Linked DNA regions of Struthio camelus. The protein of the gene in region 1 purifies or fractionates together with the protein of each later gene. This does not show direct contact. Links are inferred from orthologs where the notes say so. Each region holds a gene or a part of one and is shown on either strand. Other genes may lie near its edges.

Region 1 (15,977 bases):
TTCATTACGTAACAGCGCCGGAAACGCAACCCGCGCACCGCCGGGCGGACAGCCCCGCCGGCGCCCCCCCGGCCCGCCTCTCACCTGCGATGCCGTAGTACTGCGCGGCGGCGCACGCCACGCGCCCCGGCCAGTAGGGCGAGAACTCCGCCGCGTAGCCGTGCAGCCCCGGCAGCCGCAGGGCCCGGCCGCCCGGCGCCCCCATGGCCCGGCCTGTCGCCCCCCCCGGCCCAGGCGGGGACGGAAGGAGGCGCCGCCGCGCCGCGCCGCGCCGCCTCGCCGCGCCCGCGCCGCCCGGCTGGAAGCGCGGGGGCGGCGCTGAGGCCACGCCGCCGCCATCTTTGGTGCTGGCAGGGGCGGTGGCGGAGGCGGGCGGGCCGTGACGCTGCCGCCGCCTCCTGGCGCCGCTCCTCGGGGTCCTCTCGGGGCCGGCCGGGTCGTGTCCGCGGTGGCCCGTGTCCGCTGCGGCTTTCTTCTCGGGTCTCTTCAAAGACAAGCCGTAATTTTAGGCCGTCCTACTCGCTACTACCGCGCAGTGACAGCTATGCCTGCGTGATTCATGTACTCAAAGGTCGTTTGACCAGGACCAGGCCTCCGAGCGCTGACTACCCATTGTTTTGTGATAATTCTGTAAAACTATGTTTGCTAGAGAAAAAGATTTCCAAACTGCGTGGACAGTCCTTTCTTTTATACGCCATGTAAGATACTTAGCACCTCGTTCTCTGTTTGAATAAATGTGATTTTTTGATCTTAGTGGGTATATTGTCATTCTTTCAAAAAGCTCTTCCAAGCTATTTCAGTCTGTCATTTGCTGAGTAGATCTCCGTATATCAGTATGCATGTATTTATCATTCTTTGTTGTGAGGCAGTTACGCTTTATTGAGGTTCTTTCATGAACAAACAAACAAATTTTCTCATACCGATGACAACTTCTATTAAGCTAGTGGGAGTTTTGCCTCTGAAAGGAGGAGGGGTTCGGGCTAAGAAAAATATTTGAGCAGAGCAGCAGCTGCAACTTCTGATATATCTTATCCTATGTGAGATATAGGACTTTAAAATATTCATGGAGATGATTCCAATTGGACATAGGCTACCCTAATAAGTTAAAATGACCAATTTAAATGTGTAGAGATGAATACAGGAAATTCTTATTTTACACATGAAGGAAGTAAGACAAAGGGGAATAAGACAATTTAATCAGAGTCACCTCGTGGAGCTTGGAAGGTAACTACATACTCAGGCTGCTCCTCAGCCTTAAATTTAAACTACAAAACCTATTGTAAACTACAAAATTTATTGTAAAGCCTCATGAATATATAACTCCTTAAACTGACACTCACGTTCCGATCACTGAACTATGCGGTTTTACTAATTATTTGATCTCCTGATAAAAATGAAAACAAATATGTTTATCAAACAGCCTCCAGGATTTTAGAATAAAATCAATCCAAACAGTGCAAGTGAAGCTCAATGTAGCATATCATTGTGCTTATAGTAAGCACAAAAGCTCACAGCAGCTCCTATACTCACAACTACCAATTTGTAGATGGAATTACTGAGAGACATCATTTGAGATGAGTTTTTTTTTAACACTCAAGCAGAGTTTTTTTTTAACACTCAAACACAATGCCTTATTGAATTGACTGCTGCAGGCCGAATTCCACCAACTTTAGCCTCTGCGAAATCTTTTTAAATCAATGTGCCTTTTGGAAGCACACATCACAAGGCAATTTCCTTGGCAGGTGTTTTTAAAGTAATTGTCTTTTGTGACTGCAAAGTCAATAATACCATTCAAAAAGATATATACCCTCTGCAGTGGTATACTAAGTAAATCTGGACGTGGCCTTTTGCAAAGGTTTGCTCTGAGTTCAAGTACTCGGTGGCGTAATCTCCAGCTACTCTATGGACAAGTTACCACGCATACATCCAAGTATTGGAAAAGTTTCATCGTGTGCATTTTCAAAGTAGCCGACAAATCTAGTTCATCTTTTAGAATCAATAAAATTCCACAAAGAGGTTATGCAAGCAGGAAGCTGTCCTTACGACTGGCACAGCTCTGTTTTAAAGACAACTCAGAAAAAAATTAGACACATATCAAGAAGTGGATAGAGGGTTACAAAGAAATCCTGAAAGAAGGACCTAGTTTGTTGTAACACTTCCCTAAACATTTTTTCACAGAAAAGCTTGTGAATTCAGGTTTTTAAGATCCCTAGAAGTAGGAAGCAAAATAATATGCCAAGTAAAAGTATTTACATAGGAAGACTTCAAGGCAGATACACTAACAACTGAAGAAAAAGCTGTTTGACAAGCAGAGAGAAAGATCCAACAAACAAAACTGCTAAACGTGACTGTATTTCCTCCTGAAACAGGTGAGCTAAATTCAAGAAACATGAAAGATGAGAACAGAAATGTTCCAACAGCCAGCCCTTCACCAAAGTTGAGATAAAAACGTGTATGCAGAATGCATCAGTAGGTGGCAGCCATGTTCCACTTAAAAATTGAGATCCCACAGTTCGAGAGAAAAATTCCCTCACAACGCTGAGATTTTTTTCCTAACTCAAGCGCACTTCATTGAACTAAATTCCCATTTAATCAGCATATAACTTTTAGTTACGTTCCTCCTGCAGTCACTTCTCTAAGCCATCTCCCTTGTTAGAGTTAGACTAGGTAGTTGGGATGCTCACAGCAATATCTCTGCACGCAGTTTACCTTCTTCCCAGTCTGCTGAGCTCTGTTCTGTTACAGACATATCTCCACCATTTCCTCAGCTTGCTCACTGACAGCTAGCTTAGGTGTGAGTTGAGCTGGTAACGATCACTGCTGTATATACAAATCCTTAAAAAAAACCTCGCTGGTTGCCAGAAACAGTTATCAGGAAGGCACTAGTCCAAGTACTGAAAGGAATTATGACGAGAGTTTTTCTTCCGGAGAAAGCAGGTTGTGAACTATTCCCTTAGCTGTGAGGATAGGTGGTTTAAAACATTAAGAATACTTAGGGACTGCAGGAGACTTTTTTTCTGCTTTCTAGTTACAGAGCCACTAGGTTGCATGCTATCAAGTTTCTTCTACGATAGTGAGTGCTAACTGACTAATAGGAATGTAGAGATTTTCCCAGGTGAAATTCCTGTGTAATCAATAGGGGCTATGAGTCAAAGCTTTAAGAAAAGCATTTAGTGTCTCAAGGTTCATGGTAAGATTGCAAAAATAGGCAAGAGTGAAAGTAAACAAGGGAAAGTTGGGGAAAGGGGAAAGCAAAGGAGGTTGCAGGAATGAATACAGAGTCACACGGGGAAAGCGAGGTTAGTAGAAGGACAAGGCAGTTAGCATGGACGCTGTCCTGGGGGATTTGAAAGAATAGAAGTAAGAAGAGGGAAACACATTGGAAGGGAGGAAGAAAGACAGGGAGATTTAGCAAGAAGCGTGAGACTTGCCACGGGCACATTTTTCACTACACTTGGTCTGTCGTTCCACAATACACGGGCTTCAAGGCCAGTAATAACTGATGAAATAGCCACCCCCCACCACGTGTCCTTGTTGCTCCATCAGTCTTAGCTGATTACCATTTGTGGGGGCCATGCCATCATTTGATAAGTGAATTTATCATGCTATTACTACTGTTACACGATCAACTGCATCCCTGCAGAATGACCACCAGTCTCTGTTTTCCAGCTTCTTAGTACTTAAGAACTGCTTTAAATGTTTAGTTCCATCCTGCATTTGCCATTCTTTTTAAACTTGGCAGCTGGCACTCTGCTAGCAAAATGCTGCCCTCTCCATATTGAACATAAAGGATACCTCTGATTTTCTACAGTGATATATTTAACTTTCATTTGGTAGAAGATTTAACTTTTAAGAACAATTTGTTTATTTCAGTGATCGTATCTATTTGCTTGTGAGAGTTCTGTTCTAAAGCTCATGGAAACAGGATTAGTTTGTGTACTTTCAAGATCTCTTGTTTGGATTTTTGCATCTGCAAGTTTCTTTATATACTCTGTTTTCCACCCACAATTCAAGCACATTGGACTCTGGTTTTGCAAACTCCTTTTTTCCTGCTTATTAGTGAAAAATTTACAGCGTATCTCTAATCTCTCATTTTTGTATGCTGTCGTATAGTTAAATAAGAGGGTCTTAAAATATGGATGAAATTTAGCATCTGCTTTAAAACCCAATAACCATCAAGAAAACTCAACGGGCATGTTACTCTAGAATCTTTTTTCTGCCAGCCTTGTTGGATGTTGAAGGCCGTATCACACTGAAAACGTAAGTCGGACAGAGCGTTTTTCATTGTACATGTATTTTAGGTTTACTTTCTGTAAATCAGAACACGCTCAGGGAAACTACCCTTTTTTGACTTGGGTCTCGTTATTACTAGTATGAGTGAATAAATCAAATCTCTGATGTCTGTCACACACTGTTTGACACTTACCAATAATTGCATTTATATTTGAAACTAACATCCAAATTCTTGGATGTTGAAAATCATAATTTGGTTAAATCCAGAGGTCAATGATTTATGGTTGTAAAAGCATATAATGAAGAAAGGGTTCTTATTTCAACAATTTTACATCTAACTGCTTGTTAAAAGTTCTGTCATCAGAAAAAATCAGAGTGGAAGCAGGGCCACATTCCATACTTAGTGCTAAAGATGTTAGTTGCACAGCACCCAGAAAACAAAGTGAACAAGCTAAGCGTACTTCTGATAACAACCGGGATACTACTTCCGTTTTAAAAAAAAAAAATCCTTTGAATGATCATCTTCTAATCAAACTTCTAAATTGAAGAGCTCCTAAACATATGAATCATCACTTCAAGGAGTTAGCAGATTAAAGAAATATGCTTTTCCTTTATAAAAGCATAGACAATTTGTGTCTACTATTCCATATTAATCAGTGTTTTAATTGTTTTCAGTTAAGGGCCCAGCCTCAACCCCAGACAAATCAATAGAGCTATCTTGAACGTGGTAGGGATATGGCATTAGTAATGAAGTGAGGCTCACAAGTCAGTAACGCTAAGTGAATTAGCATGCTTCTTCCTTCTTTCAGTCCATGACTTCCTTCTGCGCTTGACAAACATGGGCTGTTCTAAAGAACACCACAGAGACATATTGTTCTTGCTTCCTGTAATGTGATGCAACTGTAGCGTTGAATGGATTAACACTGATTCTGTGTTTTGTGGAAAACTACATTATTTAGAAAAACACTGATTGCCATCCTGACTGTAGCCAGAAACAATAACCTACTGTATCTGGCAGATTAACAAATATTAACTTCTACCTGTAAATTGGTCTTTAGTTTGCTCGTCGTCTTCTCACCCCATTTACCCATGTGTTATCAGCAGAAGCAAATGCCAGGCATATCTCTTTGGAAAAAAGGACTGATCGACGCAAAAGCAAACAGGGCTACTGAAGGTACTGCAGTGACTAATCTTTCTTAATTATTCCAGAATTGATCCTCTGTCTAGAGCAGTCACGGAAAACAACGATAGAGGAACAGGCTCAGTGCCAACAAGATGATTAGTCTCAACAAGATGAATTGTAATGGGATGGACTTACTGATAATACAAACAAACATAGCTATAAATATGTAGAGCACTATTTTTCCTCCATGCTTTTCCTGGATCTACTTAATGTAATTCCTCCAATCCAAAGAAAATCTAACAATCATTAGGATTTCACTGTATTTTTGTTCAGAAACAGACTGCAAAAACTCTCAACTTCCTTTCCTTTTCAAATCCATTTTGAATTTCTCAGCGATTCATTCCTGGCCTGCAAACAATGTGCAAGTTTTAGGCAAGTTTTTCATATTATATATTATTTATTATATATATTACTTCAACTATCAAGGGATCTTTTCTTCTTTCTTGACTGGGAAGACTCTTACACCAGATTAACGCTTCTTTTGGTGATATGCTAGTTATTCAGATTAGTTTGCTTTTCCATGAAGAAGTATTTGTTAAATATCAAATGCCAAAGTGTTCATGAAAGACAAGTTCCAGGTGAACACAACAATGCAATATATTTAAGCAAAATACAGAGTAGCTTTTCAGTATGGCACTTTTAAAAAGAAGTATGAGCTGGGTACTGCTGCAGGCAGCCACAAAACCTTCAGTCAACTTGAGGCCATCCAGGAACACAAAGAGAGGAAAGTTTAAACAGGAAGAAGAGTAGAAGACAAGGGTTAATGATTATTAAATCCTGACAACCCTTAACTGCACAAAACGCAAAGCCACTCACTTAACTAGACTATCAGGGTTTAGGAGTAAGATGTGCATAAAAAAAATAAAAAAGGCAACAAGAACTATCCTGAAGTAAAGGCCAAAATTCCCTTCGGTTTTTCAGAGCACGGGATCAGGCTGATGCCGAGTCACTACACATGACTTAGTTTAACTTAAATAAGCCCCTGCCTGCATAAAACTAACATCTGCAAGTGAAAGCGCGTATTAAAACCTCAGGCAAGTCGGGGCCGGCTTCACCTCAGCGGCTGTTAGCGTGGGGGGAAGCACAACCCGAACCCAGCAGCACACTCGCCCTGCCCGACGCAGGCTCCTTTTACAAGCGGTATTAAAAATAAAGCTCTGCGGAACACAGCGGGGAAAGGGCCGCCGGCTGACAGGCATCCTCTGCTCCCTCCCGCCCAACCGCCCGCGCCGGCCGTTACCACACGCCTGGCGCGAGCCCGGAAGCGGACGCGCGAGGCCCCAACCGCCGCCGGCACCCCCTCCCCCCTCCAAAGGGGGACGCCGGCCCTCTCGCCTCCCCTCTCGTGAGGCAAAAACCACCGCTGCCCTGAGCGGCTCCGAGCACCGTTCCGACCTAACCGAAACCCGCTGCCGCCGCCGCGCCCCCCACCCCGGGCTCCCCGGAGCCGCGGAACAGCTCGCCCGCCCGACTGGCCAAAGAGCCCCCAGTGCCCAAAGCGCCGCCAGGGCTGCTTTATTTCTGGCCGGAGGCGGGGCGGGAGGAGGAGTCTGGTGGCTGCGGGCCGCCCCTGCCCGAGCCGCGAGTAGCTTTGCAGCTGTCGCTCGGCTAAATCGGGGACGCCTAATAGCAATCCCACAAGTGGTTCCTGCCGGCGGCCAACCAACTTCGCCCGGAGCCCGCCCGCAGAGGCTGGGGGCCGAGGCGCGGGGGGACAGCGGCGGCGGCGGCGGCAGCAGGACCGCGCTGCCGGGCCGGGCCGAGCTCGCCCGGCCGCCCCGGCAGGTGACGCCGCTCGGCGGCGGGGGAGAAGGGAGCGGCGCGCAATGGTGCCGGGGGCCGGCGCCGGAGGAGGCTGTGCTCGTCTCCCTGCCTGCGGCAGCCTCCGCTAACCTCTGAGGGGGAGCCCCTCACTTGCGCCCGGCCGCCTCTCCCCTTCGGCAGCTCGGCAGCAGCGCGCAGGGGCGCCGGGACCGTGCCGGGGCAGGCGGCGCAGCATGGCATCCGCCTAACCGCGGCCCCGCGCGGGAGCAGCGCCCGGGACGCGCCGCGGCGGCTCCTCCGCGGCCATGAGTGACAGCAGCGAGGGGATCATCAGCCTGTCGGTGCCCAGCGCCGCGGGCGGCGGCCCCCCCTGCGAGGAAGGGCTCGGCAGGCGGGCGCAAGGGGCCGACGGCGGTGCCCGCAGCCTCCTGCCCGACTTGGCCGCGCTGCCGGCCGGCAGCCTGTGGGGCGAGGAGAGCGCCGCCGCCGCCGCCTGCCCCGCCGGCACGGGCATCGCGGCCCGGGCCAAGGGTGGCGGCGGCGGCGGCGGCAGGCGGACGGCGGTCACCTACGTGATCAACGAGGCGAGCCAGGGGCCGCTGCTGGCAGCGGAGAGCGGCGCCCTGCAGAGCCTGCGGGAGGCGTGCGAGGTGGTGGGCGCCACGCTGGAAACGCTGCACTTCGGCAAGCTGGACTTCGGCGAGACGGCGGTGCTGGACCGCTTCTACAACGCAGGTGAGACCCCCCTCCTTCCCCCCCCTTCCCCGCCCGCCCGATCTACTATCGCCGCTCCCCGCCGTCCCTCCTGCCTTACCGCCGCGGCGCGGCTCGGCTCGGCTCGGCTCGGCTCGGCTCGCCGCTTCCCGGGCGGCTCCGGCCGAGGCCTCGCGGCGGCCCCGCACCGCCCCCCTTCCCGCTGCCGCCTGGCGGGAGGGGCCCGGCGAGCCCGGGGCTGCCCGGGGCTCCCCGAGGAGCGGCGGCAGCCGGCGCCGCCCTCCCCTTCCCCCGGGGTCAGCTCGGGTCGCCGAGCCCTCGGCGCAGCGGCCCCGGGGCTGCCGCTGCCGGGAACGCTGCGCGCCGGTGGGGTGGGAGCCGGGGGCGGGGGGGCTCGTCCCCCCCTTCGCCCCAAACGCGGCGGTGACCCCCGGCCGCCCCTGCGGTGCTGGGCGCTGGGCTGGCGCCGAGCCGCGGTGCCGCGGCTCCCCCCGGGCCCTTCGCTGCTGCCAAAGTATGCCAAGTGCTTCCCCCCCGCCGCCAACGTGTTTTGGAGAAGAAACTCCGTGTCAGCAAGCGTGCTGTGAATCAGCAGTTGTCAGGACTGCAAGAACTTGTACATTTTTTTTTTTAACCTATGCATAAAGCAGGACCTGACCGCTTTTTCTCGATCACCATAAAAAAACGCGGGGGGGAGGGGCAGGTTTTTGCTGAAGTGCTGAGCTGCGGTTGAAGTGCCTAGGTGCTGCAAGGGCTCGGCAGCTTTGTGCAGTAGGTTCAGCGTAATTGGGACACTCTGTGTGTTTTTTGTGCCTGGAAGTTCGTACTTCAAATATTGGTTGCATACAACGTTTATGATGGATGGGGTAGAACAAAGTGCCTTGATCCAGTCAGCTGGCAACAACATCCCTGTGCTGCATCCTCTCACCCGTCTGCCTGCTTTCATAAACATACAATTGCAGCTCCTTAATTTGAAACCATGGTGACCCTAGATTATCTGTTATGATTTACCTGGCCCTATTTTTTAAATAATAGCCCGAAGCTTCCTACTGTTGTATTTCTCTTTTTGTTAGCAGATACATAAAATGAATGGAGAATAAAAACAGCTGCTTACTAGATTTGTAAAGACTTGAAAAATTATACTACCGAATGAATGTTTTCCTGCCTTAAAAAAATAGAAGCAGCAACTTGACTTGACCCAGAATTCTAAGCCTACTGTATGGTGTGTTTTTGTGTGTGTGGAATACACTGGCAAATGGGCACTTTAAAAGTTTTGGCTAATACAGGAGTTCCCTCCCGTCTTGGAGGAGGGAGGGAAAAAGAAAGAAAAGAATCTAGCTGGGTTGTAGGCCGTTTCCACAGAAGATTCTTTCAGCATGAACATGCATATGCATGTTACTTCTTTGAAACTGCAGAAGCTTTGTCTCCTGGACTACTGCTTTCAGTTCAGTGAGAGACGGACGGTTTTGGAGTGTGTAGCTGCTTGTCTTGTACCTCCGACAGCACTGTGCCTTGAGAGTTAATGTTTTCAGAAGTGGAAGGGGCTATGCTAGCGAATGGAAATGGGAAGAAATAGCGCTCCAGTGTAGCTCTTACCCTCTCCCCGTACAGAGTAGAGAGATCAGATTTTAACTCTGACACTTGTTAATTGGTGGGCAGTTAAAACCTGAGGGTCTCATTTTGTTTCACCATGGAAGCGGTATCATAACACGCTCACACGGTTGGGTTATCTGTGTCTTGTTTTTTTTTTTTTTTTGTGTGTGCGTGCCTCGTATGTTTGTTAGTTTTTACACTCTGGACTCTACAGCGGTTTGGGTCTCGGTAGTTCACAGAGGCTTTTCTTGTAACGGGAGATTTGACTTGAAAGTGGGCCCCTTGAATTCTGCCAGTAGGCGTCTGGCATATAACACTGCATAACTGCACGCTTATGTAATATAACATTGCTTATTTCAATGGCTTTTGAGCAAGCTGTTTAACATTGAAAACATTGCTTTTTCTTTCAGTACTGCTTGGTTATGGGAACTTAATCAAAGTGTTGCAAAACAGGAAAAATACCTTGCCATTGTGCTTTAGTAGCTAAGCCTAATAAATATGCAAAAAACTGAGAGACACATCCAGATCATGGGCTGAAAAGAGCAGGACACGAGAACGAGTTTGTATCTGCTTCCAGTATACTCCATACCTTCTGAGCCGAGGAGTCATGAACCAGCTGTGATCCAAAAACTGTTTTGTGCTGTTGACTTTGAAGTTGGAACTTGGATCTAGAAAGATCTGAATGTTTTCGTACTTGTTTCCTTATTCCTGCCACATTTTATGTACAGTACGTATTTCTAAGAACTAGTTGTTCTCTGGAAAGTTTAAGCTAGTAAAAAATAACTATCATTTTAGGAACAAGACAGCGTTAAAAAGTAGAGGCTATGTCAGCTGAAGAATGCAAATAGAGAGCAGGGTGTAACTCTTGCACAGACTTTTTTTTCTTTTTTTAAACTGGGAACAAAATCAAAAAGCATATGTAGGTGACAAGTACATATCAACTATCTCCCTATTTCACTTGTTGTCCTCTCTCTTGCTATGTGCTTTCAGTGATTGAAGGTGATGATAGTAGTAATACAAATAAAGAATCTCTGCCCGGTACATTATATTCATGCACAACATTTTATTTAAATAGTACAGCATGACCTAACATCACGGAAGGATTTATCATTACAAATGTTTTCAAATTGACTCTTATTCAAGTGACCAAGTCTTACTGGACTTACAAAAGTAGGTAAAGACTGTGTGGAGGTTTGGAAAATCAAGCTTGTAACTTTGTTAGAATTAAATGAAACAGTAAAACCTCTCAAGTCTTGCAGTGCATGCAAGTCAACTTTGATGGGGGGGGGGCAGTAGATCTAGTATAATATACCTGTCCATCATCAGTCTCTCCTTTTTTAATATCTTGTCTCTGCTTTGTATAACATAGTCTGAACTCTTGGTGATCTCGGATGTAGGTTTACTCCATGCCTTTCACTACTTCAAAGAGAACTTGAAGGAGTATTAAATAAAAACTAATCCCATATGTAAATACTCCTCATCCGCTCTAATGTAGATTAGCCTATTAATAATCTTGTTCTACCAGCTTCAGTCAACTGATGGTCCTTAAATGCTGAGACATAATTAGCAATGCATATGATTGGTGAGTAGGTCTTAGTTATGTATAGTTGAACCATTCCAGCACCAAATAGTTAAGAATTTGCCTATACTAGCGTTTGTGCTTGCATGGTTTAAATTCCTCTTGATTCCGGAAAAAATTTGAATCTTAAGAAGCAAGTGTTAAATCAGCCCTAGTAACTATTGCCAAAAAGTATCTGACAAAAATAGACACTTCAGCGTTTCTTGTATTTTCCTCCCCTTAGATACTAAGGTGAAAAGAGAAAATCTAGTCTGATTTCTTGCAAATTTCAAAGTATTTGAAGCTGACCAGCTGTCCCAGGGTCTTATTTTATCCATAAAGAGAGTATTCAGATTAATTTTTTTTTCAGTTGTATTGAGCTGCTGCAGTTGAATTATAGGTCTCTGTCATCAGCTTCACTTCCAAATGGTTCAGGAATGTTTAGAGAACCGAGTAGTTAAAGACATGCAAACAAATAATAAGGTAGAGAAACCTATCTATATAACGCTGTAGATAATAACTTTTAGAACGCCATATGACTATAACCATTATTATTCATAGTTCAAGTGTATGTTCGGTACATTAAAATAACCTGATCCGCATGTTCGGTTAATGTTTTTTTGAATGCTCAGTTCCTTTTTGAAAACTTGGCCATAAAGGAATATAGACTAATCATAGTTTGTTTAGTTTATGTAAGCAATTCATTTTGTCTTTCACATAATCTTTTTTAGGACATTGAAATTAGAATGATTTGCTTTCTATGCAGATTTTTAAACGGTCATTGTGTATTATACAGGAGCAAATACATCATGGACTAACTGAACAAAGTGTTGTTGTCATCGTCGTTGTTGTTTTTTAAGTAACAAGGACCATAAAGGAAAATAAACATAAATCGGCAATCTGGGTTACCAGATCTGTTCTTGTAAGCCCCTCATGAGAGGGAAATGCTCAAAGTCAGGGTGAGTTTTTCACATAGGCTTTTAGGATTACACCTGTTTTTGTCTAGTTGGTTAAAGGAATGTCTCATTTGACTTGTAATCTGACATTTAAATAATATGGATTCTACAGCACAGGGTGAATTAAGGGTGAATGCTCAACTGACTGACAAAATAAGTGGTGTACAAGTGTCAGAACCAAGCCAACTAATACAGAAAGGTTTTTGGAATAATGTGTATAGTACAGTAGTATAAAGGTGAAGATTTTGCTCTTTCTTCTCAAAGAGGTAAGAAATCTCATAATTTTGGGAGAAATTAGATGTGATTCAGAGGAGTTAGAGATACATTTTAGCAGCATTCTGTCATTGTTTTGTGCAGACACTTGTACTGACTGCTTTTAGTGCATAGATAGACCATTTGCTTAGTATTGTCAGGTGTACGTTCCACCTCCTTGTCTGCCTTGCCAGATAAAGCTATAGAACGTTTTCACCTGGTATTCAGCAAAATTAATTTCTTTGGAAGAATGGCAATTCTATGAGAGTCAGAAGCACAATATATCAAATTTTCTGCAGACTCTGAGTGCAGTCTCACAGAGGAACTGATGGGCGGTAAGAAAGATCACAAAGTCAACGACTGAGGAGGATCTGGGGTTTCACATCTGTGCAGGCACTCATTTAAGCTTATTCTAAAGCTAAACATCTTGACTGATGTGCTTGTTATATAAATATCTCCTTGTAACTTTATTGTGTTATATTAGGCGATTTCTTTTTTTTTTTTTTTTTTTCACTTTAGCTTTTTACACTCATGCTTCATGGATCAATGGCCCTTGCAATGCTGTTTGGAGCTATTGAGATAATTCCCCATAGTAGCAATGATTTAATAAGATAATAGAGTTTATCAAATAACAGGTAATAGATTTAGCTTCATATTGTTGTTTCTGGAATTCAGCATCATTGCTTTTGGAATTCATGTGGGTTTGGGCTAGAAAGTTGGTGCCAGCTCACTGGACGTGAAAACACTTACTGCAATGTAGTTGGAGAATCTTGGCCCCAAAAGACAAATCTTCAGAGAGTCAGTGCAGTCGCGTATGTAAAAGTGAACTCAGCCTGGAAAATGTTCTGCATCTAAATTATTTTCTGCATGCTTCACACAACTTGTGTGGATCATGCCTTGAAGTATTTACAGGCACACAGAAATGAAGTAGAGCAGTACCAGAGCTCATCTGCATTCCGGCATTTTCTTCTTATTTATCTTTAGAGATGCTAAATTTCAAGAATCTTTTATTTAGCATGCTAAGCACTTCAGGCGTCAAACAAAATATTTTTTTAAGTGATTTATGCCTTAATATAAGTTTCCTGGAAGTTCTGTGATTATGACATACCAATGCAGGCTCTCCTCTTATACTCAAAGGAAGGCGTGTTTTTTAAAAACTTATTTTCTTGATTTCAAGAAGTTGACTTAAATGTTTTCCGTGGTGCAAAAAGGCATGCTTCCCATAGCATCTGCTGTTTATAGTACCAGAGAGAGAGTAACTGCGAGTATTATTCCACTCCACTTTGCCTCTCTTTCAAAACAATTAGTTTCTTCACTAATTTATTCTCTGTACTTCCTGATTTTTTTTTTTTGTTTAATTTCACTAGCAGAGTTTCGTCAGACACTTGAGATGCTGCACATTCTTCTGTGAATACGCAGCACTTGCGTCCATCGCATTTTTTACTATTTGGACGCTTCTCCCCCCACCGCATCTGCTGCTAAATAACTACTCTTTCTGTAGTGTCATGCCTAGAGAGTCACTGTATGAAATAGTAGTTAGTACTACATAGCAGGAGAAATTATCCTGATGCATTATTCTTGTCCAATTTCAGAGTCAGGGGCAACTACTTTAAAAAAGACCAAACAAGTAAATCCAGTAGCAGTGTCAGTGGAATTCATGTTGAAAGAGGTTTGATTATTATTATTATTTTTTTTAAGCGCTGTGTTGTGAGTGATGAGTTGGAGCAAGAAATACCAAGTAACTTAGTGCAGATGGTGCACAGAATGGAGTTGATGATACAGCCAGACTCGAAGATGTATAAGTAAGGGGTGTTAGGTATTATGGTACAGAAGCTTTGTGTCTGAGTGCATAGCATATGTTGTTACCATTACATGGGGTTCAGAAAAGGGTGGGTTATGAAGCCCCCTTGAAATTTGGCTGTTGAGCGCCAGACCCTGCTAGGAGGCAGCGTTAGAAACTGAAAACAAATGCATGGAATATCTTCAGCATAAAACATTGTTTTGTTATGGAGCAGCTGAATGCTGTCTACATGTAAAACTAATCAGGTAAAGATGAATGTGGAAAAAAAAGCTGCCATAAGGTTTTTGTCTGTTCGTGGCTAGTGCTATCAGAGAACTTCTGTTACACTGTGCGGAAATCATAGGATTTGAAACAGCATATTCACAGATTAATATTTCCATTGCTGGCCTAGCTGTAAACTTTATAAGCAGATTCCAATATTGATACCGTATGCATAACTTCCGTTAGACTACCTGTCAATAGGGGAGTGGAAAACTAGTATCCCATTAGTTTATCTGTGAGCTAGGAGGAGCACAGTCGAAGTATGAAGATAACGTTGCCTAGGAGACCTGGGTGCTCTTTCAGACTTTGCGACGGGCCTCTCCTAGCATTTTGTAGCTCTGTCGCTCAGCACGAGCTTCCTCCTGGCTCTTCCCAGGCCCAGAGGCTTGCGGAGCCTCTAGCAGGGGTGCCCTGGCCACAGAAGCCCTGGTGCTGGTGTGAATCTCCAATTGGTGCTCTAATGCAAATAATATGGGTATGCTCTTGCAGTGCTTATTTACTAAATCTCCTAGTGGTATCAGTGAGATGCTTGGATAAGTGCAAGAGTGTAATAAAATACTATGCACTGCACGTGAAAGCAGCGGAAGAAATGCAGTTCATGAAATTATTGTGCTCTCTTAAATTTGGTAGAGATGTAAAACACATTATGAGACAGCTCTGTGAGAGGACAACAGGCAAGTATTTTCTCCAGTGGGAAAAAAGAAAGGTTGGCTGAAGGTAGGTAAATGCTTTTTGAGAGTAACACAGAAGGAAGCCTTTGACTGCTTGATTTTCTGCAGTTTGCATTTCTGTAGCTCTGAACAGGATGTGTCATACAGAAATGACTCCTGAATTTACCGCAGCCGTGCTAAGAAGTTTACTTCTCTTTTTAGTCACTTTCTAAAGTAAAAAAGCACAATACAGAAGGCTGCATGTATGTAACAAGTGACAGCAGAGTGAAACAAATTGTGTTATAAATGCCTAAAGGATCAAGTAAGAAATGGAAAAAGCCTAACGTGTCATTTAGCACCATTATCCTCTGCAGTGAATTTTCCAGTCTGTTATGCTCTTAAACAAAATAAAGTTAAGCAAGTGAAAGTTTCAGTTTTATGCCAAGTTGTTTTCTTTTGTCTCTCAGTAGAGAAGAGCTCACTTTTAGGAGTATTCTATAGCTCATTTAAAAGTTAATCCTTTTGTCTCTAGCCCTTTGGAACAGTTGTGCTTTTTTTTTTTTTTTTTCCTTCCAATGCATAGGTCACCTGCAAGTTGTTATATTTTTAAATTGTCACTAAAAAACTCTGCGGCTCAACATCAATGTGGGTTTTGCACGTGTGTGGTTAATAAAACGGAAGTTCTTGCTGGGATCCTCTTCTTTCATAACAGGCTCCCTGCTTCAGATTCCCCCAGAACATCTACTGTTTTGAGTGGTTTCCTGCCCCTAAATTTGTATGGCGTGTCTGAAGAATTATAATCAGGTGCACCAATATATTCAGAAATACGTTTGCTTGAAGGAGGTAGATGTAAGAAGCACTGAATGAAGTTGTCTTTTGCAGGAGAGCGTGTGTGATAGATGACAGTAGCATCTATTTTGACAGTTGGGGAATTTTCTGGTAATTATTGATAGGTAAATATCTGTATGAATTCTGTAATTGTTTATATTCTGAGAGCAAATGAACCCTCGGA
Region 2 (16,569 bases), on another chromosome or scaffold:
ACATGACCGTGGCATGGCAGAAGAGCAGTGTCACCTCGATACAAAGCACCCAGCAAACAGATCCCCTTTCCCCAGGCACGAACAAGGCAGCTTTCCCCTCCTGGCAAGTGAGTGCCCCAGCGGGGAGGAAAGCACGAAGGCAGGACCTGCGCAAGGCCAAGCCCAGGAGCTTCAAGCAACTGGATCCTACCCAAGCCCAGCAGCTGGGGAAGGAGTGGGATGTTTGGGAAGCGTGACTTGCTGCACCCACGTGCTGAATGAATGGGAGTGCACACGTGCAAGAAGCCTGAGACATCGTGGAGGAGACAGAGTCACTCTGTGTGTGCTGCAAGCCCATCTCCTGACCGCAGGAAGCCTGATGTATTGGATGGACACCCTGAAATCTAACAGGTCATCGCTAAAAGCACAGTTCCCCTGCCCCAAACAGCCACGCCAGCAGGCGGAATGAGCTGCTGGCTAATTCGGGGCAGCAGTCGTCTCTTTTGGTTTCTTGTTTTGGCTTTGTTCATCTTGTATCCAAAAAAAAAAAAACCACCAACAAAACAAAAAACACCACACAACTTTTCCTGACAAAACTGGCCTATAAGATTCCGGTGGAAGTTTTCAGTTTTGACAAACTGATGCTTTCCAACAAAGTCATTGCATTGGTAATTTTCTGGCTAGCTCATGTTGTTAGCCACATCTTCGCTGACTACAAATTCAGCTGGGCTTCTTACTTTCTGCCCTGCTCTCAGAAGGGATAATGAAGCTCAGTGAGGTCTGGTTATAATCAGCTTTGCTTTCAGCTTCTCAGTGCTTCTGCATTTGGGACACACAGAAAAGGCAATCTGTTAAAAGGAAACAGCTGTTTCTATCAGTTTTAGAAACCTGGTGTACCAATGACAGCTCAGAGGAAGAGAAAGACGGGGGCAACGGAGAACACACCAAACAATTAATATTCCTCACATATGAGGAGGTAGTCCTGACATGAGGTTACGTGGAAGCACAAACGGGAACACAAAGCTGAAGCAGAGGTGATGCTGAGTACCAACGCTTTCATAAGCGTTTCACAGCTTTTGTGGTGTCTCAGGCCTGTTGTTACAGGAGATTCCCGTAAGAATACCATCACAGAAAGTTTTCCAACACTAGCATCACACTACTGCAGGCCACCAAGCCATCAACCCAGAGATCAGCAGAGCCTGACTCCTTGGCTAGCAGGTCAAGGTGGAGCTACAACCTGGGGACTGGCCCATTTCTAGTAATTCCCTGCAGTCCAGCAAGGAAAACCTGCAAGAGCATTCAGTCCCACTGATATTCCTCGTGCCAGCAACAGGAGCAATGAACGGAGCTACTAAACAAACACCAACCCCTGCACTCTCACGGGGACGGCTATCTCTTGACCACACTCTAGGGTTTGGTTGTTATCAGCAAATGCCTATCAGGAACAAGGAGCGACAGATTATCCACACTGCATGGATGTTGGTCAACCCAGCCGCCCGAATACCTCTGCGCCAGTCTCTGCAGTCCTGCCCAGCTCTGCTTTATTACGCAGCCAGCATTGAGTCGCCGGGCAGCTCTAACGATGCTCCATTTCTGCAAACTATCCTGAGCTGCACAAAGACAGAGATGGTACCCAGCAGCATCCCTGGCTCACTATTAAGAGTGGACGTTTGAAACATCAAGTCAAGCTTTTGGACCGCCACTCGGTTGCTGAGCTCACCAAAAAAAAAAAAAAAAAAAAAAAACCAAAACAAAACAGCCTGACCCCTGGGATCTGTCTGCAGCCCTGGGGAAGTCCATGACTTTCCTGAGCCAAGGCAGTCCCCTCCTGAAGCAGAGTTTTGTGCCGGCTGAAACCAGCCAACTCACTTCAGTGGTATCAACAGGTGATTTTCCCCACTTTGAAGTTCACCCTCTCCAAGGCCCAACTCTCCCCTGCCCAGTCACTGCAGGTCACTCAGTGAGTGATCTGACTGGCAGAGATTTTATTTGTTAAACTGTGATAAAAAGATCATGTTACCCTAGAAACTTTTGGTCCTTAGCTCTCCTCGATCTCTTTTTTTCGTGTGCACATATAAGCTTTCCAGGAGTGGCATTGCTTTATAGCTCTTGCTATGTCAAGCAGGGACTCATCACCTGGGACCTAGTCTGATCTCTTCCCATTTGAAATAAGCAGCTGGTGAAATCGGTTTCTCCGCACCCTGCATACATGTCTCCTCCTTCCTTGCTCCACCATTGTTGAGCCTCGAGCCTACACTTTGTAATTAGTGGTTGAAGGAGGGGAAAAAAAAAAGTCTAAAATAAAATCCAGACTATTCTTGTTGTTTTATTGAGAATGTCTCCTACTGTGTATATAATTTCTGAACTAGCTACCCCCCCTTTTTTTTTTAAAAAAAAAAAAAGGCCAACTACCCTGCAATTTCTGTAGAGCAGTAAAATTGCCTATTTTCCCCAGAGTAGCTTTCCACATGACAAATGGACAAGAAAAACCTCGAGATCTTTGTATATTTGGAATTAACCATTAAAGAGATGGCTGGAAAAGAATTAGCCTGCTTAAAGAGAAATTTCAGCAGCACCTACTTTTTTATTCAGCCTCTCCAAAAAATAAAACAAGGCTGTTCAGAGGAGTTGTCACGTCACCGGATCTTCACAGTCCAGAGTCTGAAAGCATCTACAGAGGCACGGGCTGGCCAGAGGGACTCGGGCAACGCTGACGCCCCGTCACCCACTTGCACCACAGGGGCGGATGCAAACGCAGGGGCTGTGGTTGGAGCCACGCAGCCCACGTACGCAGGTGGCACAGATGCTGCCCCAGGCCCACGAGCGGCTCTGCCAGCTCTCCCTGTCCGCTGCCGAGAGCTTGCGAGACACTGGACAGACCCGGTACCTGCCGCATGGGAATCTCCTCCCGGGCTGCGAGCTCGGCTTATGCACTTTCCCTTGGCTGGAGGGCCCCAGTCCCACGGACGCTTAGGGGAGCTCGGCTCCATGCCGCGAGTCCTGCCGGACCACGTGGGCACTCCCACCACGGCCCGTTCCCATCTCCGAGGGGCTTTCCCACCGTGAATCCACCCCCCTCCATCCTACCTGAAAAGCAACCGAGCGGCTCATACATCAGGCACGTCCTCCATGCTTGCCCTGGCACAGCACCCCCACGCCACCCACCCGAGGTCCCTGCACCCACAGGGTGCCAAACCAGCCCCTAAAACCTGCCCAAACCCCCTCAACGAGGGGGAGCTGCTGGTGCGCTGAGAAAGCCCAGGAGCTGCTGGATGGGGCCCGGCGGGCACCAGGGGCCCTGGGGGGGGGGGGGGGGGAAACCAGCCCAGGGGGGACCTGTGCAAAGGGGCACCAGGGGAGAAAGGGGGGGAACTGGGGGGGTGGGGGGACAGGGGAAAGAACCAAGGGGAAAAGTGCTATGGGGGGGGGGAACAAGGGGCACCAAGGAGCATCAGGAGAAAGACAGGGGGCAAAGGGGCAGGGGGGGATAAAAGAGCATCGGGGGCAGGACAGGGGGGGCAGCCAGGGCCGGGAGAGATGGAGGAGCACCAGGGGCAGGACGGGGGGGGGGCAGCCAGGGCCGGGGGGGATGAAGGAGCACCGGGGGCAGGACGGGGGGCAGCTGGGGGGGATGAAGGAGCACCAGGGGACAGATGGGGGCAGCCAGGGCCAGGGGGGATGAAGGAGCATCGGGGGCAGGACGGGGGGCACCAGGGCAGGGGCGGATGAAGGAGCGCCAGGGACAGGACAGGCAGTGCCGGGGGCAGGGGCGGATGAAGGAGCATGGGGGCAGGACAGGGGGCAGCTAGGGGGGGATGAAGGAGCACCAGGGGACAGATAGGGGCAGCCAGGGCAGGGGGGGATGAAGGAGCGCTGGGGGCAGGACAAGCAGTGCTGGGGGCAGGGGGGGATGAAGGAGCATCGGGGGCAGGACAGGCGGTGCCGGGGGGGGATGAAGGAGCGCCGGGGGCAGGACAGGCGGCGCCAGGGCCAGGGGGGATGAAGGAGCACCGGGGGCAGGACAGGCGGCGCCAGGGCCAGGGGGGATGAAGGAGCGCCGGGGGCAGGACAGGCAGTGTCGGGGGCAGGGGGGGGATGAAGGAGCGCCGGGGGCAGGACGGGCGGCGCCGGGGGCCGCCGGGGCCGGTGCGCCCCGTCCCTCACCGTTCAGCCGCACGGTGAACTGCCGCCGCTTGCGGTCGTGCTCCACCCGGATGGGGCAGCTCTGCTCCAGCAGGCCGAGCGGGGCCGAGTGCGCCATGGTGCCGGCACGGGCGGCGAGCGCTGCCCCTCGCCCGACGCCGCGACAGCGCCGAGCCCCGCTCCGCCCTGCCCCGAGGAGCCGGCGGCGGCGGCGGCGCGGGGGGAGCCGGGAGCCGCGAGCCGGGGCGGGCGGACGCCGCTGCCGCCCGCTGGAGCCGACACGGCCGCGCCGCGGCCGCAGGAAACCAGCTGTGCGGCCACGTGCCCGCGCCGCAGCCAATGGCCGCGCCGCGCGTTTGTTTTGATACAGCCCGGGCGGCTCTTAAAGGGGCCGCGCGCCCCAGCAGCCTCGGCAGTCCTGGTTCTGGCCGGCTGCACTGGTGCTGTACTGGTGCTCTGCACTGGTGTGCCAGTGCTGGGCTGCTCCGCTGGGCAGTCCTCCGCTGCTGTGCTGGGTGCTCTGAACTGATGTACTGGACCTGCACCAGTCTTGCATAGCTGCACTGGTGCTGCACTGGTACCCTGCACTGGTGCTGTACTGGTGCTCTGCACTGGTGTGCCAGTGCAGGGCTGGTGCTGGGCTGCTCTGCTGGGCAGTCCTCCGCTGCTGTGCTGCTACTGTGCTGGGTGCTCTGCACTGGTGTACTGGACCTGCACCAGTCTTGCATGGCTGTACTGGTGCTGCACTGGTACCTTGCACTGGCGTACTGGTCCTGCATGGTTGTACTGGTGCTACACTGGTACTCTGTAGAGGTGTACTGGTGCAGCATGAGTGCACTGGGGTGGTGTACTGGTGCTGCACTGGTTTGCTCTACTAGCATACTCACTCTTGCTCTGGGGTATGGTGCAAACCCTAAATTCCTGCACCTCACGTGATGCCCCTTTCCAGAAGCGCGGTGCCTTTTCCCGCATGCTGGTGGGCTGTGGGAACACTCCGCTGCAGGGCAACACCAGGCTGCGTTTGTAGGCAGCGCTGAAAACCCCACAGACACCACGAGGCTTCCCGAAGGGGCTGGCTACAGAAACGGTGCTGCATGGGTGTCCAGCTTCTTGGGGCGCTTGTCCTGAGAGACAAGCAGGCTGCAAAAGCAGGAGAAACTGTGTATGTTGGCTGTTACAGGATACCACAGACACCTGAGCATGCGTGTGGGGAGCACAGATACCATAGACAGTGTATTTGGGATGGCTGCATTAATTGCATCTTTTGAAACATAAGGAACTTGACTTTCCATGCACCATGTTGTGTAAATCAGAGTCTGTTCAATGAAATCGGTGTATCCACTATATGCAAAATTGGTTGATGAAATAGGCTGTCTGGTTCCTTGTTTGTTGAGCCGTAGCAACAAAATCTTGGTATCCTTGAACTGAAAGCTTTTGGAGGTAGGAGCTGCATCTATAGAAAGTGTTTGCGCAACAGCTAGTGCAGTGGGGCAGGGTGGTGGCTGTTTGTATAATAGGAAAAGTAACAATATTTAGAATTATTCTATAAAGTGGAATAGATAATCAGCGTAGTCTGCGCTTAAATAATGCCTTGTGAAGTTAGGCCTTCATTTACTAATCCCTTTGGTTCCTACTCCCTGAAGTCAAGAGTTTACAGACTGATTGATTCCTCAGGCCAGCAGGTTTATTTGGCTCATGCCGCTCCATGGACCCGGGCTGATGCCAAGGCGTTGTGCTGAACGCAGGCTCCGGAGCTGCGCGCCACCGCTCAGCAGAGCCCGTGGAGCTGCAGTACCTGCCAGGCTGCAGAAATGGGCTGGCTCTGGTGGGAGAAGGCTTCGTTACCTTCCTGGTACGTGAAAGGCTAGAAAATGTCAGTAACGTGAAGTTGTCCTTCTCCTGCGCTCTTTAGCCGGTGACCTTGAGAGATTTAACAAACGCAAATTAGCCGCTTTCACGGCGTGCCTGCGTGGTTGGTATGCGGTGTGATCTCCTTTGTAAGTCACGGCACAAAGCGGTTAAGAAATGCGTCCCACGTCGCTAGGCAGATCTGCGGCGGTTCGGCGGGGAGAAAGGAAGCCTGTGGCTGAGGTTCAATTCCTTCCTTTGTTACAGGCCTTCTGGGCGAGCGGGGAATCAATTACTCCCTCCCAGCAGCCTTCGCTAAGCCCGTGCTTCCAGGCCGTATGGCGATGCTGGAAGATAAAGATGGCAAAACATTGTGAGCACGTGAACGCAAGGGAAGCCAAACACAGGCTGTAAAGAGCAGGGCCCAGCACAGCTGTGATTTTGTGGGGAGGAAGAAGATGAGCGGCATGAGCTCAAGGGCATGGGGGAGCCTGGCGCAGGTGGAGACAGGGGCCAAATCCAGCACCCGGCTTTGAGCTGTGAGGGGGTGCCAATGCCCTGGAGCCTGCAGGAGGGGCTCGGGGGAAATGCGTGGCTGGGATCCTGAGAAGGGATGGAAAGGAGAAGCGTATTGCACGTGGACGAAGGGGAGCTCCCCGCTGGGTTTCCCTGCTCTGCGGTGACAGGGGACGTGGCAGGTGCTGCATCCGGCTGTGCGGGCGCCGCACACTTGGCGGCTCTCAAACCCGCCCTGGCGCAGCGCCACAGCAGCGGGGCTGGGGACAGTCCCCAGCTCTCTCCTCCAGCGAGGCCGCCAGCCACTGAAGTGCAGAGCGTCGAGCGCCAGCAGCAAGGACCTCAGCGTGTTCAGTGCGGTCTGACCCACACCTCCCTCCTTTTCCCTCCGTCCTTCCAGAGCCTACAAAATCCACAGATTTACCTATAACATTCTCGAAACGTGGAGTGGCCTTCCAGGAATGCTAAAAATCTACCTCCCTTGCGGAAGTTTCTGGGAACGCTTAAGCTCTGCTGGGACATTTTGCTCTGCCTTTGCCTGTGATGATTACCTCTGCCTCAGGCCAGCAATTACAGCTCCCTCTGATCTTTCCGATACACTTACCCAGCAGTGAGTCGGTTGGATCTGATGATGAGCAGCTCAGACAGACAGGAGGAGTTGCAGGCAAAAGAAACAACTCCGGCAGACACCTAGAGGTTGCAAAATAAAGAGAAAGATGCCCATGAGAGGCAACTGGGCCCTGGCTCCAAAGAGGAGATGACCAACCCTCAAATGCTGCCTCTGGTCCTGTTCCTGCCCTTCCGGCCGGACCATTCTCCTTCTCCTCATTGCAGCTAGCAATGGTTCATGAGTTTTCCTTCTCTCCCTAGCCCCAGTGCCTTGCCAGCCTGTCCGATTTTCATGCTGAGCGCATCCAAATTCCCATTCATACCTCTGCAGCGCTTCTGCGTCTGAAGATCTCCGAGCAGGTTACAAACATCTGTTGGTTAAACTCCCCAGTGATTCAAGGAGGAGGAATAAAACGAGGCGATTGTTTCATCCACCCCTTTAATTGCAGCCCAGGCTGGAGCAGGCAGCAATCTCCTGCCGTGCCTGGTGGTGAAAGGAGGAGGAACCACATAGCACAAAACGTGCTCCTAGACACAAGGGTTGCGCCCCGCGCTCACAAGGGCTCCCCCAGGCTCCGGGGAGCACAACGGCCAAGATGTCTCCGGTGTTACGTTGCCGAAGCCGGCCCCACCGGTCCTTGCAGGTGCCCTTCCAGCTGGAGACAAGGGAGTCTCCTATTTGCTAAGGCGCAAAGGAGCGCTCTTCTCTCTGCAGTGGCATCCAGCGAATCTCACACCCAAATACTGACCCAGCCCAAACCTGTTCGGATCAGCCAGTCTGGAGTTCAAACCCAACTGCTGATTCAGAGGTTTGTAGGGCTAAAAGCCAGGAAAGTCCATGATGATCTGATCTCCTGCTTACCCAGCCCAAAGAATGACATCGGTAGCTCTTGCTTCACCACTAATAACCTTGTGGTTGGAACAGGAGCATATTTTTTAGAAAGACTCCTTGTCTGTGTTGAAAGACTGGAAAGGTGGTGAATCTACTACATCCCTTGGGAAGGTAATTGCTGTCACCATTAAAAAATTTGTAATTTATTTCCCATTTGAACTTTTCTAGCTTCAGTTTCCAGTTGCTGGCTCTGACACCACTGCGGCCGGATTAAAGGTCCATTCGAGGCGGGACATCTTTCCTTTGCATAGACACGGCCCACCCAGCTCCTCCGCTTCTGCTGCGATTCCCGTGCGCTGTTTCTGAGACAGGTTTTCCAGTCCTTGAACCCATGCAAAACGCTTCGCAAAACACACGTCTTGGAACTGGGCTTGCTGCGACTTCACCGAGGCTGCGTTCAGGGTTGCCGCCTCTCCGACCCCTCCTTCCGTCCCTGGACGGATCACACTGCGGATTCCTGCCAGAAAACTGCATTCCCAACTTGCTTTTTGCTCATTTCCGCTACGTCACTCGTGTCCTGCTCAGCCACTGCTTTCTGCAACGCAGCAGGCGCAGAAGAAGAGCCCCCTCACGCCGCCGGCATCTGCCCGGGCATATTGCTGGGCTTGAAGGAATTTTGTGGTGACTCAGGGCGAGGAACGAATTCCCGCTGGCTTCCCAGCCCGGCCTGCGCGCCTCCGTGCATCCCCAGCGCCTGCGATAAACACAGCCGCCCTTCAGGATCGGACGCCGGCGTGAGCGGGCCGGGCTGGGCCGGGGCAGCTCGGCGGGGGCACAAGGGGTATCGCCCAGAGCAGCCGTCCCAAGGGAAACGTGATGAGCTGGCTGGTCTCAGCCGTGCGAAGCGCTGGGCCCCCGCCGGCGGATGGGGGGGCCGGTCCGGCCCCGCCGTGGTCCCGAGCGGCGAGGGGCCTCGTGGGCTCGGGGCGGCGGGACCGGGTGGCGCGAACGGGCCGACGAGCCTGACGGGCCGGGGCTGCTGGTGCTGGGCCCCTGGACGGCCCTGCACGGGACGGCGGGCTCGGGGCTCTCGGGTGGGCCCCGGGCGAGGAGGAGGAGGAGGGTGATGGCTTCCCCGAGCAGGGGAGGAAGGCTCCGAGGCCTCGCCGTGGCTCACGGCCCGCGGCAGCCAGGGAGGCCCGTGCGGCCCCACGTGCCGCAGCCTCGCCGAGGCCCCGTAGCCTCCCCTCAGCCCCGAGCCGCCGTTCCGGGGCAGCCGAGCGGCCTCGAGCCCCGCCTCGGTGCAACGGGGCGGTTGGCGCAACGGTGCTGGGGGCAAGATGGAGGAGAAAGCCTCCCTCTGCCCGCCCGCCCGCCTGCCTCCCTCCAGCCGCACGCCCGAGAACCATAAAACTCTCCGAGCCCTAACCCCGCCCCCTCCCTCCAGACAACCAATAGAAGGGAAGCTCCGGCGGTGGGGGGCGGTGCCTGGCCAGCCCTCGCCCCGCCCCGCGGCTCTTTCCCCGCTGTCGGCCGCGCTCGCCCGGACACCGCCGGGCGCTCGCCGTGCCCTGGGCATGCTGCGGGCCGCCGCCGCCAGCCATGTCGCTGCCCAGAGGTAGGAGAGCGGCGCCGCCGCCGCCGCCTCGGGGAGGGCGGGCTGGGGGCGGCCCGCAGCGGGGGCCTGGGCCTCGCCGGGCCTCGGGTGCGGGGGGGCGCGAAGCGGGGCAGGGCCGGGCGCGTCCCGAGAGGTGGCCCGCTGTGCTCCAAGGAGTCCTCGGGCACGTCTGAAGGCATCGCCCAGCACGTCCCTACCGCATCCCTGGCCACGTCCCTACAGCATCCCCCCCGCGCGTCCTACGGCATCCCTGGCCACGTCCTACAGCATCCCCCCGCGCGTCCTACGGCATCCCTGGCCACGTCCTACAGCATCCCTGGCCACGTCCTACGGCATCCCTGGCCATGTCCCTACAGCATCCCTGGCCACGTCCTACAGCGTCCCTGGCCACGTCCCTACAGCATCCCCCCGCGCGTCCTACAGCATCCCTGGCCATGTCCTACAGCATCCCTGGCCACGTCCCTACAGCATCCCTGGCCACGTCCTACAGCATCCCTGGCCACGTCCTACGGCATCCCTGGCCATGTCCCTACAGCGTCCCTGGCCACGTCCCTACAGCATCCCTGGCCACGTCCCTACAGCATCCCTGGCCACGTCCCTACAGCATCCCCCCGCGCGTCCTACGGCATCCCTGGCCACGTCCCTACAGCATCCCTGGCCACGTCCCTACAGCATCCCTGGCCACGTCCCTACAGCGTCCCTGGCCATGTCCCTACAGCATCCCCCCGCGCGTCCTACGGCATCCCTGGCCATGTCCCTACAACATCCCTGGCCACGTCCTACAGCATCCCTGGCCACGTCCTACGGCATCCCTGGCCACGTCCCTACAGCATCCCTGGCCACGTCCTACGGCATCCCTGGCCACGTCCCTACAGCATCCCTGGCCACGTCCCTACAGCATCCCCCCGCGCGTCCTACGGCATCCCTGGCCACGTCCCTACCGCATCCCTGGCCACGTCCTACAGCATCCCTGGCCACGTCCCTACAGCATCCCCCCGCGCGTCCTACGGCGTCCCTGGCCATGTCCCTACAACATCCCTGGCCACGTCCCTACCGCATCCCTGGCCACGTCCCTACCGCATCCCTGGCCACGTCCCTACAGCATCCCCCCGCGCGTCCTACGGCGTCCCTGGCCATGTCCCTACAACATCCCTGGCCACGTCCTACAGCATCCCTGGCCACGTCCTACGGCATCCCTGGCCACGTCCCTACAGCATCCCTGGCCACGTCCTACGGCATCCCTGGCCACGTCCCTACAGCATCCCTGGCCACGTCCCTACAGCATCCCCCCGCGCGTCCTACGGCATCCCTGGCCACGTCCCTACAGCATCCCTGGCCACGTCCCTACAGCATCCCTGGCCACGTCCCTACAGCGTCCCTGGCCACGTCCCTACAGCATCCCCCCGCGCGTCCTACGGCATCCCTGGCCACGTCCCTACAGCATCCCTGGCCACGTCCCTACAGCATCCCCCCGCGCGTCCTACGGCATCCCTGGCCACGTCCCTACGGCATCCCTGGCCACGTCCCTACAGCATCCCCCCGCGCGTCCTACGGCATCCCTGGCCACGTCCCTACAGCATCCCCCCGCGCGTCCTACGGCATCCCTGGCCACGTCCCTACAGCATCCCCCCGCGCGTCCTACAGCATCCCTGGCCTTGCCGGGAAGCCTCCCCAGGTGCCACACTTGCCGCGGGCATCGCGGTGGCCCCAGTCTTGGTGGCACCCGGGGACGGCGGTGCCCTGCGGGGGCCCCCCTGGCAGCAGGGATGCGGGGCGTGCTTTCCCCGCGCGGACGGTGCAGCCTGGATGTCCCCAGCCGGGGTTGGCACCCGGTGAGCGCGTCTGGGCGCAGCTTTGGACCTTGCGTTTGTTGACAGAGGTGGTGGGGCAGGCCTCCGGCGCGGCCTGGGCTAGGGACAAGGTAATCGGCCTTTCCGAGCGTGTTGTCCCCCCCTCGTGATGCAAGTTTTCAGGTGTCAACTGGATGGTCCTTGTCTTAATATTGGTTTAATTAAGGCTTAATGGAGTAATTAAGTCTTATGTAAACTGGGAAGATAGGATGCTAGATATAAAATTGTTGCCTAATCTTTCGTGTATAAGTTTCCTGTTATCTGCACTCTTGGTGTACCGCCAGGAAAGTGCTGATAGGTAGTGCAGTTCTGTTAGGTGAAGTAAAGAAAATCTTTCAGGCTTGCCTCCCTTGTAATTAAGTTGCTTATGCGGAAACAAAAGTATGTGAAGCTCTTTGGAAACAGCTTGAAGACAACCATCCCTGTTCTTGTCCATTCAGAATCAGAGACGTGGATCTACCTGGCCATGCACGTGAGGTTCCTCAGTTCTCATCCATTTTGCTGCGTCTTTGCACGTGCTTAAAAGCATATGCGTGATTTTATAGGATCTGGGCTGAAATGATCTGAAGTTGCTGGTAGGCAGGAATGCTCTGTTGGCCAGTTGGAACGATTGGACTGACTCGCTGTTTTTAAGTTGGTGCCTGAATAGATAAACGAGTGATTTCACCAGATGGAGCAATTGGGCAGCGTGTTTTTCTGTCCGTCGAAACATCTTGGCAAGTGCAGAACGCTCAGAAACTGAGCAAGGCCGACACTGGTTCTAAACTTACTGAGCCTGAATTGCAGTACAAGGGCCAGACCGCTAAGCTGGGTACTATATGGTGGAGGCAAGATGGGAGGTGATGTTCCCCTGCTTCTTCCAAAGCGTTAGCTGTATTTGTGACCTGCTGCCTGATCCCAGTTGGGGGATGTTGTGCTGTTTGGATGTGCTGGCTTTGTGTTGTCCCCCTCTTCTGGTTCGGCACTGGGACACAGTTCTTACACCCTTGTCCTGTCTGCACCGTCCTGAGGTACCAAATTTGGGACGTGTGTGTTTCTTAGAGGAAAACATGAACAAACAGCACGGTTTGGCCTTCAGCCTGCTGAAATTAAAGGGGATGGAAGTGTTGAAATGCCTGTTTGTGTCGAAGGAGGAGAATCCGAGCCTCGAGCACAGCTGCATTGCTTGGGCTGCTCCAGGGGGCAAGATAGCAGCGAAGCTCTCCCCCTCCAAGAAAACCGCTGTGGCGGTTTAGCGAACCTCGTCGTTAACTTTGGACAGGGCGTTCTGCGGATGAGCGGCGCCAGCAGCAGCCCGTAATGTAACGAGGTGAAATAAAACCAAACGGAAAGCGAGTGTGTGAGGATGGCCGGCCCGCGGCGTGCGTGTTTGTTTTGGTGGCGGAGGCAGAGCTCTGATCTCCCGGTACGCCCGGCGCTGACTCCGAACCTTGACACATGTGCGTGTGTCAGAAGCACCTTGGTAGGGTTTCCCGTTGCGGCTGGCAAACGTGATTGTGTGTCATGGATGTTATTTATAGAGCATCGCTGTGACTAAGGTGGCCTGGTCGCCGTCCTAAGGTGAGCGCAGTCTGCTAGGTATTGGCCCGGGATGACACCATGAGCTTGCTGGGGAAGTTTTGAGGAAGACAGGAAAATTGCCTTGCTGATGCCTTAGAGCTCTAGGTAGCTGATTGCATCAGCGCTGTGAGCGACGACTGGACAGAATCGGGGAGGAGAGAGCACAGAAAGTGTGATTTGCTGCTTCTCTTTTATCACTGGAATAAAATTTGGGTTTTTTTTTTTCCCTTGTTCTGGAGTGATGCATAGGAAACTTGAAGTCAGGAACCATGTGAGCAGATGAACACACCTCGATGTGACCTTTTTTTTTTTTTTTTTTTTAATGATCTATGTCTTAAATGGAGAGAATGTGGACCTGTGTTTCCTGTTTGCTGTGTAAGTAGGGTATGAATCAGCAGCGATTTATAATCGTTTTGAATGGAGCTGCTGACTCATAGGTAAGAGCACATGTTCAAGCAGGCTTCCCAGACGGGAAGGGTTCAGCAGGGCTTCTTAAAACGGCTGTCGAGACCCGGTCCAAGGCCAGATCTCATTTGGGTTGCAGGCGCCGTGGGCTGTGTGAGCCTGAGCAGCAGATGTGTGGATGGAGGGAAGAGGTGAGCTCTCTCCTTTAGCAGCCTGGCTGAGAGACCTCTCTTTCCTCATGGGAGAGGAGGCCCGTGCCGGAAGGATTTCCTAGGAAGTTGTGTGCTTGACCAAAAAACGTTTTGCCTGTCGGAGCGTTGTGGGAGTGTGGTACCTGCACATGCATTCTTGGAGGAAGTTTGAAACCTTTCTGTCTTTGCAGGTGTCTGGCTGCGCGGGTTATTCTTTGGAATGAACCAGTTCCTGCCTGAGATACAATTACTACTAATACTGCTTAGTGGAGGTGTCACGTGTGTGCTGAGTACCCTAGTTCTCTTTGGCTGGCATTGACTGCTCTGGGTTTTCCTCCGACTTGAGCACTTTTCCTGTCTATTCCCTTTGTCTCCATCGATGCAGGCTTTGGCATTGGGATCAATCCAGAACATGTATAACGCATCTGCTTTTCTCAAACCCCTCTTCTCTCGTTCTGTTAGCGCTCCACCGCGGTCGCTGCATGCCTCTGCCATCCCTTGTGACAGGCCTCGGTTTTGCTTCGGCCTCAGAAACACATGTTTTTTGAGTGGGGCTCGCCAGTCGTGCGTTGCCGCATGTGAATACCCTTAGGTCTTGAGCGCCTGCTTCCACTTGGATTGCACAAACTGCATCTCCTTGACAGCACTGATGTTAAGTCATTCTGGGGGTCCTTTGGGATGGCCTGAATTTAAGCTATCTCTGTTTAGGGAAATCCAGTGGATTTGGGCTTCCTTTTCCTGGTTGCTTCCCCTTCGTAGGCTTAAGTTGGTCAGGATAATAAATGGAGGCTGCTGCATTGTTGCTCTCAGGTTGGCTGTTTCAATGGTAGATGTGTACAAATACTCAGCTGCTGTCATTTTTGGCTTAGTCATGGGATCGACTTCTGCCTCTGGAGTTTCTGGGGATGCGTGTAGCTGCAGCTGACTGCCCATGACACGCGTGAATGGAATGGTGCTCGGCGAGGGAGCTTTTCCTCGGCTCTGGACTAAACACAGCTTCTCAGATAAACACCTTGTGTGGCTTATGTGGAGCTTGATAGGGATTTCAGCTTAATTCCTTTCCCCATTGCCCATGTGTGGTTGATCCAAATTATCTTGCAGGATCAGATATGTGTGAGAGCATCACTTGCTATTTCTGGGTAATCTTGCACTGTTAAGTCCAAAGTTTACTAAAATATGCAAAATCTCTCATTTGTCTCAGGTCAGCGACACTCGCCTGAGCTGTATTTACCAAATCGCTGGCATTGAGGGAAGGAATCACATGCAAAGTGCTGGAACTGCATGTGTATCTTTCTTCTAGAGCTTTGTAAGGGACATAGCCACTGGCAGCAAATCTGAACGTGTGACTGGTCCTGGATATGGTTTTTCCAACAGCGTCTGCACCTTGTCCAGCAAAACGGATGCTCTGAAGTGATGGAGCTTATATCTGAGAGGTTAAAGTAGAGGGGGAGGAAACCTCAGCTTTGCAGAGCATGCAGGATACGCAGGGTGAAGGGTGCACAGGTTGTTTTAGGTTGTGTGCCTACAGATTCAGGTTGCTATTTTTCCCTGGGGCTGAAGGCATGTCTTCTGCCTGCCTGTGCAGCCCTGCGTGAAGAGCTGCAGCCGCTCTCACTATGTCTGTGTGCTGTGACTCGGTTCCCTCCTGACCCTGGTACCTAAGCGAGGAAGTCCAGGCAGCCCCCTCCTGGTGGGACAGGCTGGACGTGCCTGGGGCAGGCGCGTGTCTCCTGCAACTGCTATGCTGGGAGGTTGCTTCAGGAAGCAGCTCTGGAGCTGCAGAATTGCAGGGAGGGAGGATGCAGTGATGAGAGCTGGAGGGAAGGGACCTGTTTGTCCTCCCCTGAGCTCACCTAGCACCAATGCTGAAGTAGCTCAAAAGCAAGTTCTTCTCTTTAGTTGAGCAATTCTCCTCCAGGAAGACATGAGTAACTTGTTAGGTGCCTGGATGTGACCCACTGCACTTCACAGCCACGTGCTTTTACTTCCCTTTTTGGATAGCAGCAGGTCTGCGTTTCCTGATGTGCTGGGCTTCAGCGTGAGGATTTGCAATTGAGCTGTGAATTAGGGTGCTCGGAGACATGTTATGCCCTTGGGGAAAGGGAACAGCATCCAGTTGAAGCCAGGCTGCTTTTCTGGGAAAGCAGTTCTCCTTTAACTCCAAGGCTTGGAAAAATCATCAGTGAGAAATGGAAGAATTCAGGAGTGAACTGGTGCTTGTTCTGGTAAAACATTTATTCTGGGAAGGTAAATAAGCAGCATGGATGAGTCCCTGCTGCATCCCTGGCTCTGCCGAGGCTGTGCCCTCCACACAGAGTACCCCACGGTTATGCAATTCAGTCGGCTGTGAATCCTGTAGTGTCTTATGTACTATTCACACTTTTCTTGCTGCCACTCCAAAAAAGCCAGTTCTGCTACAAAGCCTGCAGGAACAGGGGATTCGCCTCTAGGCTCCCTCCGCATCCAGGCAGCGCAGCCGGCAGCCTGGTGTCCTCTGCGTGTGCATGCACGAATGTGTGGGGCGGCCTTGGAGTGCTAAACCCATGAAGTCAGGTTTTAATTTTAACTCTGTTGAAGCATTATGTAGCTTGCATCTGATTAATTATAACCATCATAAGAGAGAGAGCAGGGCTTTGCTCCTACCCTCTTCCTAGTGCTATGTTGGGAATGGGCTGCTTTCTGACAGCCAAAGTGTTGGGTACCTGCAAAATATTATGTTGTACATCACAAATATTTAGTTTTGCTGCAGAAATCCATTTTCTTCCTTGGAGGGATGCCCCCCTGCTTTTTCAGTGGATAATGCTTCTCCCTGAAGGCCGCTGCTTTAATTTTCCAGGTCTGGGCTGCGGTCCAAGGCTGGGCCGGAGTTTGCTGTAGCCCGGGCCCCTGCTGTTTGCGAAGGTGGGCCTTGCTGGAGGAAACCCATTGGCGCTTTGCAGAGCTCCTTGCTGCGTGCCTAGGAGGCTGCGTGGGTTTCCCGTCCCAGTGATGTTGCGACCCGAGCGGCCACAGTTGCAG

Evidence for each region.
Region 2: the proteins of MAP3K5 (region 1) and MAP2K3 purify together in Homo sapiens (co-immunoprecipitation; 4 studies listed by BioGRID and IntAct, with this or other methods). This does not show direct contact. The link is inferred for Struthio camelus from reciprocal best matches to the Homo sapiens genes MAP3K5 and MAP2K3.

What each region holds. Positions count from the first base shown.
Region 1 is NC_090944.1:74,125,570-74,141,546, reverse strand, and holds the start of MAP3K5 (mitogen-activated protein kinase kinase kinase 5), read left to right. Parts: upstream 1-7,335; 5' UTR 7,336-7,485; coding exon 7,486-7,915; intron 7,916-15,977. Other genes in the region: PEX7 (peroxisomal biogenesis factor 7), read right to left, coding at 85-205. UniProt on the Homo sapiens protein: Serine/threonine kinase which acts as an essential component of the MAP kinase signal transduction pathway. Plays an important role in the cascades of cellular responses evoked by changes in the environment.
Region 2 is NC_090956.1:4,368,202-4,384,770, forward strand, and holds the start of MAP2K3 (dual specificity mitogen-activated protein kinase kinase 3), read left to right. Parts: upstream 1-9,423; 5' UTR 9,424-9,529; coding exon 9,530-9,545; intron 9,546-13,523; exon of another isoform or gene 13,524-13,538; coding exon of another isoform or gene 13,539-13,551; intron 13,552-16,569. Other genes in the region: protein NATD1, read right to left, coding at 4,144-4,240. UniProt on the Homo sapiens protein: Dual specificity kinase. Is activated by cytokines and environmental stress in vivo. Catalyzes the concomitant phosphorylation of a threonine and a tyrosine residue in the MAP kinase p38.